Schizosaccharomyces pombe: one gene and its partner. The gene in region 1 interacts genetically with each later gene. Each region holds a gene or a part of one and is shown on either strand. Other genes may lie near its edges.

Evidence for each region.
Region 2: mutations in gcd1 (region 1) and pof2 together harm fitness more than expected from each alone (negative genetic interaction), as found in Schizosaccharomyces pombe (one large-scale study listed by BioGRID).

Annotation. Positions count from the first base shown.
Region 1 is NC_003421.2:238,787-243,875, forward strand, and holds gcd1 (glucose-6-phosphate 1-dehydrogenase), read right to left. Parts: upstream 2,983-5,089; 5' UTR 2,929-2,982; intron 2,651-2,928; 5' UTR 2,423-2,650; coding exon 995-2,422; 3' UTR 677-994; downstream 1-676. Other genes in the region: SPOM_SPCC1529.01 (transporter), read left to right, coding at 1-306, 365-464; wtf antidote-like meiotic drive suppressor Wtf5, read left to right, coding at 5,069-5,089.
Region 2 is NC_003423.3:2,615,656-2,620,056, reverse strand, and holds pof2 (F-box protein Pof2), read right to left. Parts: upstream 2,196-4,401; coding exon 1,005-2,195; exon of another isoform or gene 969-1,004; coding exon 829-968; exon of another isoform or gene 782-828; coding exon 721-781; 3' UTR 581-720; downstream 1-580. Other genes in the region: TATA-binding protein-associated factor Mot1, read left to right, coding at 1-353; SPOM_SPBC25B2.10 (Usp (universal stress protein) family protein), read right to left, coding at 2,613-3,536. UniProt on the Schizosaccharomyces pombe protein: Involved in substrate recognition in ubiquitin-dependent degradation.

The DNA of each region.
Region 1 (5,089 bases):
AGTCCCCGTAATTTTATTGGGAACTTTTTTCTTTCCAGCTGGCTTGTTTATTTATGGTTGGACTGCGCAGTATCACACTCACTGGATTGGTCCAGATATTGGCGCAGCCATGTTTAATATAGGTTTGATGTTAGGCTGGCGTGGTATCCAAACTTATTTAATTGATTCTTTTATGATTTATGCAGCATCGTCGACAGCAGTTGCCTGTTGTGTTCGATCGATTGCTGCTTTTGCATTCCCTCTTTTTGGCCAGGACATGTATGATACCTTGGGATATGGATGGGGTAACTCTCTTTTGGCATTTATGTATGTTTTTTGATGGATCATCTCTCTTTTTATCAATTTTTACTAACAGTAGATAAAGTGTATTGGGATCCTCCATAATTACATGTTCTTTACTTTGGTTTGGTGGAAAACGGTTACGGGCATTATCTAGCATGGTCATTTTTAAAGACGATGTATAGGTAATCTTATTTATTTTACAGATATTTTGTAATAATACAATAATACAATTTAATAATGGTTGGAACACTATCAACTCTATTCAATAAAAAGTTAAAATAATGTCAAAAAAATTTGTATACGATTCAGTAAATACACATTTCTTCAAACGTTAAGCACTAAGCAAGAGAGCTATAATTTAATTTACAACGCAATGTGATACTTTTATATTGACTCAAAATGTTTGAAGCGTTTTTATTTTTTCGATGAATAAAAATAATACTCACATCTCGTTACTATGTACTACAAAGTTTTGTAAGAAAAGAGGCTTAATATTTATGGATGATGTTCGTTGTCACATAAAATTAGATTATTAAATTGAGCGTAAAGCTAAATAAGAAAAATGGTTTTATAAAAAAAAAAGTTGAAAAAGGGAAAAGGCAAAGCGAAAGGATGTCATATATGAAGTTTGCTCATTAGCTTAACAAATATACAAACCCGTGTATTAAAAAAAATATGGTGGTTCAAAAGACTTGATATGGTTTCCTTTGATTTAATCCCACTCTAAATTACGCTTCTTGAAAAATTCGAGTGTGGCATCTGGACCATGGTGGGAACCAAAAGCATAAGGAAGAGGTGACAAATCGCCTGTAGTGTCAAGGACATCATCAAAGATTTTCCAAGAGGTACGAACCTCATCATCACTAATAAAGTGTGTATGCTTTCCATTAATGGCATCGGCAATAACCACTTCATAGGCCTTATGGATCCATGTATCAGGGAAAGCTTCGGGATACTTAACGTCCAAAGTCACAGGAACAATTTGACGAGAGAAACCAGGTTGTTTAATGTGTCCCTTGAGGGCAATGAATTCCTTGGGATAAACACGAAGGACTAGAACATTGCTGCTATCAACGGTAGGGAACATACCTCCTTCCCTACGCTTAAAAGTGATACGAGCTTCAAAGTAATCGCGGTCCAAACCTTTACCGGCAGAAATGATGATGGGAATACCCTTCCAACGAGGTGCTTCAGAGCGAAGTTGAAGAGCACAGAATGTAGAAACTTCACTGTCATCAGCAACACCATCCAGTTCACGATAACCGGGGACCTTTCCATTTGCACTTTTAGTGTACTGTCCATAGACGATGTCCTCCTTGGAAACGGGATGAAGGGATTTCAAGAAGTCAACCTTGCATTTGATGATATCTTCGGCATCTTGAGACTTTGGCTCTTCGATGCAAAGTAAGGTAAGTAGTTGCAAAAGATGATTTTGAACGACATCGCGAAGGATACCAGCGCCCTCAAAATAACCTCCACGTCCCTCACAACCAAAGTCTTCACGAAAGTCGACACGAACACTTTCAATGTGTTCACGATTCCAGATGGGCTCGAACATGGAGTTTGCAAAGCGAATTGCAGTGAATCCATCAATCATATCCTCGCCAAGGAAATGGTCGACTTTGAAAGTATCCTTGGCAGACCAGTGCTTGCTGAGATCGCTGAGAATGGCATCGGCAGACTTGTAGTCGAAGCCGATGGGCTTCTCAACAATAAGACGAGTGACCATACCATTGGGATGAGCCTTACTCTTGATTAGCTCGGAAACGGGAGCAAAGAGATGAGGAGGCAGAACCAAGTAAAAGATACGTGTGCATTCGGAGGCGGGAGCAGTCTCCTTTTCAGCAATAATGCTGTTTAGCATCTCAAAAGACTCGGGCTTATCATAAGTACCGGGGACATACTTGTAATGCTCGACAAAGGTGTTTAAGGCCTTTTGAGAAGCACCGACAGTATCGTCAATGGGAATATGGGCGGTGACGATTTTGTTAGCGGCCTCTTGGGACAATTTGGAACGGGCATAGCCGATGATTTGAAAGTCCTCGGGAATAATTTTGCGGACGTAAAGGGCAAACAAGGCCGGGAAAGTCATTTTGGTAGCGAGATCGCCGGATGCACCGAAAACAATGATGGATAGCATTTTTGTTTAAAAAAGTTGGAAAGAAAGTGGAAAAAAAGTGTCTGAGACAAAAGGCGAGATTAGTAGTGAAAGTAAGATTGAAAATATTTTTTCTTTTGGGTGAAAGAAAAAAAAATTAAACAAATGAAATGATTTAAAGGAAATCCAATGAGATTTTTTCAAAAGGTCAATTTGCGATGATAGTTTAAATTCGAAGGAAATTGTCTTGTTATCTACGAGATAGATATACTAAATTGTGTTAGAAAAGAGCAAAGATAAAAGACAGAAAGAAAGAGAAAAGAAGAAAAGGAGAGAACAGGAGGGGGAGGAGAGGAGAAAAAGGTGATATTTCAGGTAATTATTATTGACAATTGAGTTGAATATCCTTTGATGATTCACTTTGCGTCTACCCTTAACTAGCACCATTACTCACTACCCACTACTCACTGCCCTGCCTTACCCTGCCCTTTTTTCAAAAATCCCCGGCCCAACAATAAGCGAAACGAAAAAATTCGCCAACCACCTACCTAAACTCCACACGACGAATCAAAAGCGAGTATGTTTTACAAACCAAGGTTGCTGGGGGTTCAGAAGAGGGACCATACTCTTGTATATATACAACTTGAAGCAATGCTCGTGACATCAGACACGATTGGAAAGACCTTAATGCATCTATCAACCTAACGTCTCCGCAAACATGGGACAAGGTGTAAACAAAACAAACCCAAGCCAAACTTCCTTTTAAGATGCGGGACTGCCCGGGGTGAGGCGGGGCGACAAGCTCTCGAACGTGTGGCCCAGGTATGACAAGGTGTGTGAGCAAACTTTAGACTTTAGTATTTAAGCTTTGCTGGTTACCACGCCCACAATTCCTACCGCTTCCAATGATGTGCATTGCACGATGCATGAAATGCTCTTTTACACTTTCGGCTCTACTACGTCAATGTAGCAGTAGCCTAGCCAACTGGGCAACTGAGAGTAAGGACCTTAGTGGCTAGTCAGACAGACCCCGGACCAAGGAGAGGGGAACCGAAACGCAGGTGCCAATGAATATGAGAGTTCGACGAAAAGGGGGTTACTCGGGTAATGCAAATCTTCAAAACATTCGATCATCCATCAATCAGCACTGAAGATTTTCCTCGCATAAGGTTTATGGGAAACGAGTAAAGTTTGAAGGGGGGAAGCGGGGGATCTCGGAAAAAGTAGGAATTAGAGTAGAAGCATGGCAGAGCAAGGCAGGCGGGCGCACAGCGTAGCGTTAAAAAAATAGCGCAGTAGGACCAAAGCACGTTACAGTTACGCTTGTTATAATTTACACAAGGAGGGATTTGCTGTGATATACTTTATTACACACTGATATAGGCAACATAAAACCATGTACATTAAAACTTGGGTAGTGTAAGAGATACAAAGGACTTTAATAAATTTACACTTCCATTTCGCATCTCTGTCATTGCACATCTAAGCCCGTTCTCAGAACCTGGAAATGCATTCCTCATATTCTTCCTACTAGATCCATTCTTTTTCTCAGTCTCCTTACCTTACGTATGCTTCTGGACATGTCTGGCAGAGGAATTTTGCCTTTGTATGAAGAGGGGGAGAGATCTCGGCAATAAGGAGATGGAGCATACCTCGTTAAAGGAAAATTAGGGCTTCGTTGTGGCTTCCCAAATGGTTGTCTTAGCAAAAGGAAAAAAAGGTCAGCTAGGGTAGAAGCCGAAGGGCACAAAGTTGGGGCAGGAAATCTAGAAGTTTGGAGTAAAAGGCGTTGTTTTGCTTATTAGCCAAAATTTACGAAATTGGAAATTAACAGAGCCTTCTTTTTTAACGTACGTTTTGCATATCCCTAAGTCAGTCTAGTAAAAGCATGTATTTACTGTTTTGCATGGCGTTCCTCTTCCATCCTCTTTTTTCTCTACTAAGCTTTTTCTCTTATCTCCCCTATTCCATCATAACGATAGTATTCGTATGTTAATGAGTTCGGTACATTTCGTTCGAGATGCGGTAACTGTACTGAAATGGACAGAGGAGCTAAAACAGTCTATGTACGTGAAATTTGTAAAGATAAATTTAGGCTTACAATTTTTGATATTGATGCAAATTATTCATTCCTGTCACCATGTTGTTTTCTTCCATGGGTTGTGAAGAAAACCCCTCCCTTGAATTCTTGGTCAAACACTTAGTGATCTCCTACTACTTTCCCCTAGTACCGCGGGGATATGGAATTTGGTGGTTGCTAAATACTGAAATGCATAATATTAAATAGTACGACGCCGGACGTACTCCTGATAACGAAGCGACACTTGCACGCACTATTCAGTTTCAAAAGTCGCAGTAAACGTCTATACTGATAAATGATGGGTTTGTTTCTCAAAAACGTTTAAGGAAAGCTAAGTTGGGGTGAATAAAAAAGGCAGTGACAGAATAAATGTGTCAGAAGCAATTCACTGCCTCGTTCAGTTTTTTCGTTCTTCTTTTTTTATGCCATTGTTTGAAGGAATTAGTTGGAAATTTGTTTGAACGATTTTATTATTTTGTTAAAAAGTCTTTAAAGCGATTGGAATTGGACTACAAAGTGAATATTCTTGATTTCGCTGTTTGGTTTGTCGCAATCATAGCAATTAATTCGCGCATGTATTTTATTAAATAAAGAATGATTTTATTATTATGAAGAATAATTACACTTCT
Region 2 (4,401 bases), on another chromosome or scaffold:
AAAAAAAGGTGGTGAATGTGTATCGTTTAATCACTCGAGGATGTCTTGAGGAAAAAATAATGGGCCTTCAGAGGTTTAAAATGAACGTGGCATCAACGGTTGTTAATCAGCAAAATGCTGGTCTTTCTTCAATTGGAACCGATCAGATTTTAGACCTTTTTAACACTACTGCTGATGAACAACAAACTGTACAAAATATTGACAAAGAAGAATCGGAAGATGCGGCAGGTCGCGGTCTAAGTGGTACTTCTAAAAAGGCTCTTGAAGGGCTTCCAGAAATGTGGGATGAATCCCAATATGATGAATTTAATTTGGATGGTTTCATATCTACTTTACCCAAGGATGCTTCTTGAACAGGAGTTAGTATGGAACCCCCATAAAAAAAATTAATTATTAACTAATGTGAATGGTAATGCAATATGAAAGGTGTACAATAAAATAGGTTTTCTTTTAAGAAACTATGTTTAACTTATCTTTTGTAAGAGTGAGAGGTTTTTTTGATAATATGTAATAAATCTACTTTTTTGTACTTGTAAATATATAGCTACCATCTGCTGATTAGTTCAATCAAAAAAAAAAAAAAAAAAAAAAAAAAAAAAAAAAAAAAACCTTGCGGAGTAAATAACGTTTTTTATAAAATGTTTTATTATTGAATAGTTAAGGACAAGCACGCCATCATGTCAATTGAAGCCTTAAATGAAACTGTGAAAAGTTTGATTTCTATATTCTATTACGAATAAATTCTCGAAACAAATCAATCTCGACCTTAGTGAACGCACAGCTGTATATTAGTTAGTGACTATTAAGAGGTCAAAACCACAGACTTACAATACCGGGACTTGGGACGGGTTTATTCCATCTGGAATTGGACGGGAAAAAGATCGCAATTCTGTGCATAATATAGAGTTAATTCCAGTAACGCTAAGATGCTTTAACGTTTTACAGTTATACATCAAATAACTAACCGACTAATTTGGTTAGAAAAGATAGCATATTTTACATACCTTTGCGGTTAGTCCAATGCAATAAGAAAGATGTACTCGTTCAAGGTTTCTGGAAAAAGACCCACTTAGTAAGATTACAGAAAGGTCAGTAAGGCAAATGCATTTGACCAAACCTACTCTTTGAAGATATGGCAACTTAGCAATAGCACTTACTGCTATATCACTCAAACGAAGGCAACCACCGAAGTCAATGTAAGTTATATTTTTACATGACTTTAGAAGACATTGAACACCAATATCGGTTATCTCATAGCAATGTCCCAAATGAAGAGTCGTTAAAGATTGAGAAAGCTTTGTTAAGCTTAAAAGTGACGAATCAGTCAATCCAATGCATTTGGAAAGAAATAGAGAGTTTAATTTTGAGAACTTACAAGTTATCAATTCTATGTCACTGTCTTTCAAATCTGGTAAATTGTTAAGACTTAATGCCCTCATTGCATCTAATTCACAGTTTAAGTTTAAAAAAGTGATGAAATGTGACAATTCTGTGCAACCATCCATAGATAATTCTTTCAAACCTCGATTTCTGGAGACCAACCTAGACAGCGTATCCGCATTATGAAAGCCTTCACATCCACTAATATCTAATTCAATCAGGTCTTCTTTTTCAGAAAGTATTTGTAATGAGACGTCAGTCAGCTTTCGACAATTCGGTATAATGAGCCGATTTAAGTACGGACAACGTTTTATTATCTGAACCATACCGGTATCTTCTACTAACCCACAATTCCCAATATTCAAAGCTTTTAAATTAGGGCAATTATCAGAAATATATTCAAGTATATTCGCCGGTAAAGAGAAAATATTACTGAAGTTTATAGTAACCAAGTTCAAATTCTGATACAACAGTTTACCAATAAGAGGCTCGGAAATGCGAGTACATCCAGACAAATTCAGACGAGAAATCCCTGTTGCTAATGTCATTAACATTAAATGTTTATCGGTAAGAAATTTCCTAACACGAGAGCAATTCAGCTTGCGCAAATACCTGAAATAGTACGAAACATCCTTGGAGTATTGTAAAGTATCAAAAAAGTTATTTAATTGAGCTTCGTTTTGAAATACTACTTTTTCCCATAAAGTGGGTATAATAAAATTCCTCCATGAAGTACAAACTGTCGATTTGCACCTTAGCTCATCGGCTTCCAAATATGATAATATATTAAAACAAACTTCATTAGGCACCCGCATTGGTAAAGGTAAATTTTTTTTCTATAGGGAATAAATGAAAAATATGTGAGTTGGTAATAAAGCGTAAATTCTTAAAATGATAAATGGATGTAAACAAACAATTTTCATTTCAACTAAATTACGCAGCATAACGTACGCATGTTCCAAATTATCATAGTTAAATCCAGAGACAAACAAATTAATTGACATTAAGAAATCTCAAATACACGATAGATATACTCTAAACATTAAAATTCCGCACGCTTTAGCTTAGCGAACAAAAAAAATTAAAGCTTTATTTTTTTTGCTCTTTTTTAAAATAGACAATAAAGAAATCAATGTTCAACCGTTTTGCGAATAATTTATCAAACGCATTAAATATTACATGTCATAAAGCAAGTATTAATCATAAATTGGCAAGTTAGAGAACTATTCGTATTAGCGACCGCTTTTCTCTAAAATTTCCATATAGGACTTTCTCGTTTTGTCCTTAAGGCGCTTGTTTTTTGAACGAACTCGTTTTCGATCAGGTCGAACAACAATTACGGGAATGGGGCTTTTTTGTAAACAAAATTTGGAAACGCTTCCGCTAGAAAGAAGAGACTGAAAGCTATTTAAGGCTTTGCCACGAGTACCGACAATAAGACTATCAGGTGAATAAACGTGTATAGTACGAAGGATCATATCTTGAGGTTTACCAACCACGAGTTCAACTATTATAGAAACAGCTTTATCATCATCAACTTTCTTGAGTATGCCTGCCATGATATGTTCAGCTAAAGATCTGTAAGATTGTTCATCCGATAAATCCTCCGCTAGCTTGGAAGAAGGATCAATTACTCTTAATACTACTGCTTCATCGTTGTCGGCTAAAAGTGTTTCGAATAACCAATCGACTGCAACTTCAGAATACGAATTGCCATCCATGCCACACAAAAAAGTGCGAGACGTTCTTGTCCACTTGTAAGCTTGATGTTGTGTTTTCAGAGTCAGGGAAAAATCTGTAGCCGCTTTATTATTAAACGTATCGAACGAAATCCTTTTTAGAAAATGTGGACTCGGAGGTGGTGAAACAAGACTATGGGAACGTCCATGATGATATTCCTCAAATTGTGGAGGACAGAATCCAGCCGCCCGAGCAGGTGCCACTGTTACGGAATTTTTTGCAACAGGACGAAACGTTGGCTGTTCCATTGAGCTCCTGGCACTCCGAACCGGCGTAACAGGAGCAGAATGAGATGGTTTTTTAACATCGGTAGAAATGGATAACTTCTGCTGGTCTTTAGAAGTTCGTGGCTCAGGACGAGGGAGATTACCGAATGAAACTCCCTCCTTCGAACCAGCGGGTGCAGATTCACTCATCTAAACTTCTCACTTGATTAAATTTTGGGACTTTTAAACAATCAATTTCTCTGCACAATTTTGCAGACCCTGTACATGAAACAAGGTACTATATTCAACTCTAATTCGGAGTAAATGTTAAAAAATTGAAAGTGGTGCCTTAATTAAACTTGGGAAATTCGTTTATTATTTTCAAATGATATATTAGAAAACTTCTTTTTTCAAAACAAAATGCTTTTATTTGTATAAATATTTAAAAGTTACGATATTTCCTACAACGAAGAGTGAGCTGCCGGAAGTATGTATGTGGTGGACAAATAAGTGAAGTCATGTGTAACGGCCGCGTCAACCCTCCATTCTATTGTGCTAAGCTAATGCCCAAGATCTTAAAACTAACATTATGAGGAAACCAGTGGTGCTTGTTATACTAAATTTTAAACTGAATCAACGTAATTAAATTCTAGTTACTTGATTCTTTCGGTTACCAAATATGTAAGATATTTCCCAATTTATGGTTTGTAGCAGCTGATGAATGTGTATCGGTAATTAAGCTAAAACGTGAAAAAGGTGTTAATAAACATAGCCAGGTTTTTTGTGTAAGTTGTAAGCAATTATTTCTAATTGATAGATGGCTCTTCCTATAACTGCCTTTTCTAGTATTGCTCTGGCTCTGTGCACCGTCTATAATGCCACACAGTATTACCAAATTCCAAAACAATAAAAAAAAAACAATTTTTCAGTGAAAGCATACAATAGTCATGAACGAAATTGGGGCATTGACCATTTAAACCAGTTTGCATCGGTATTATTTGTTATATTAATAAAAAATAGTTACAATTTCTTCATTTTACTACTTTCATAAAGAAATTTTAAAAAATGTTTGGAA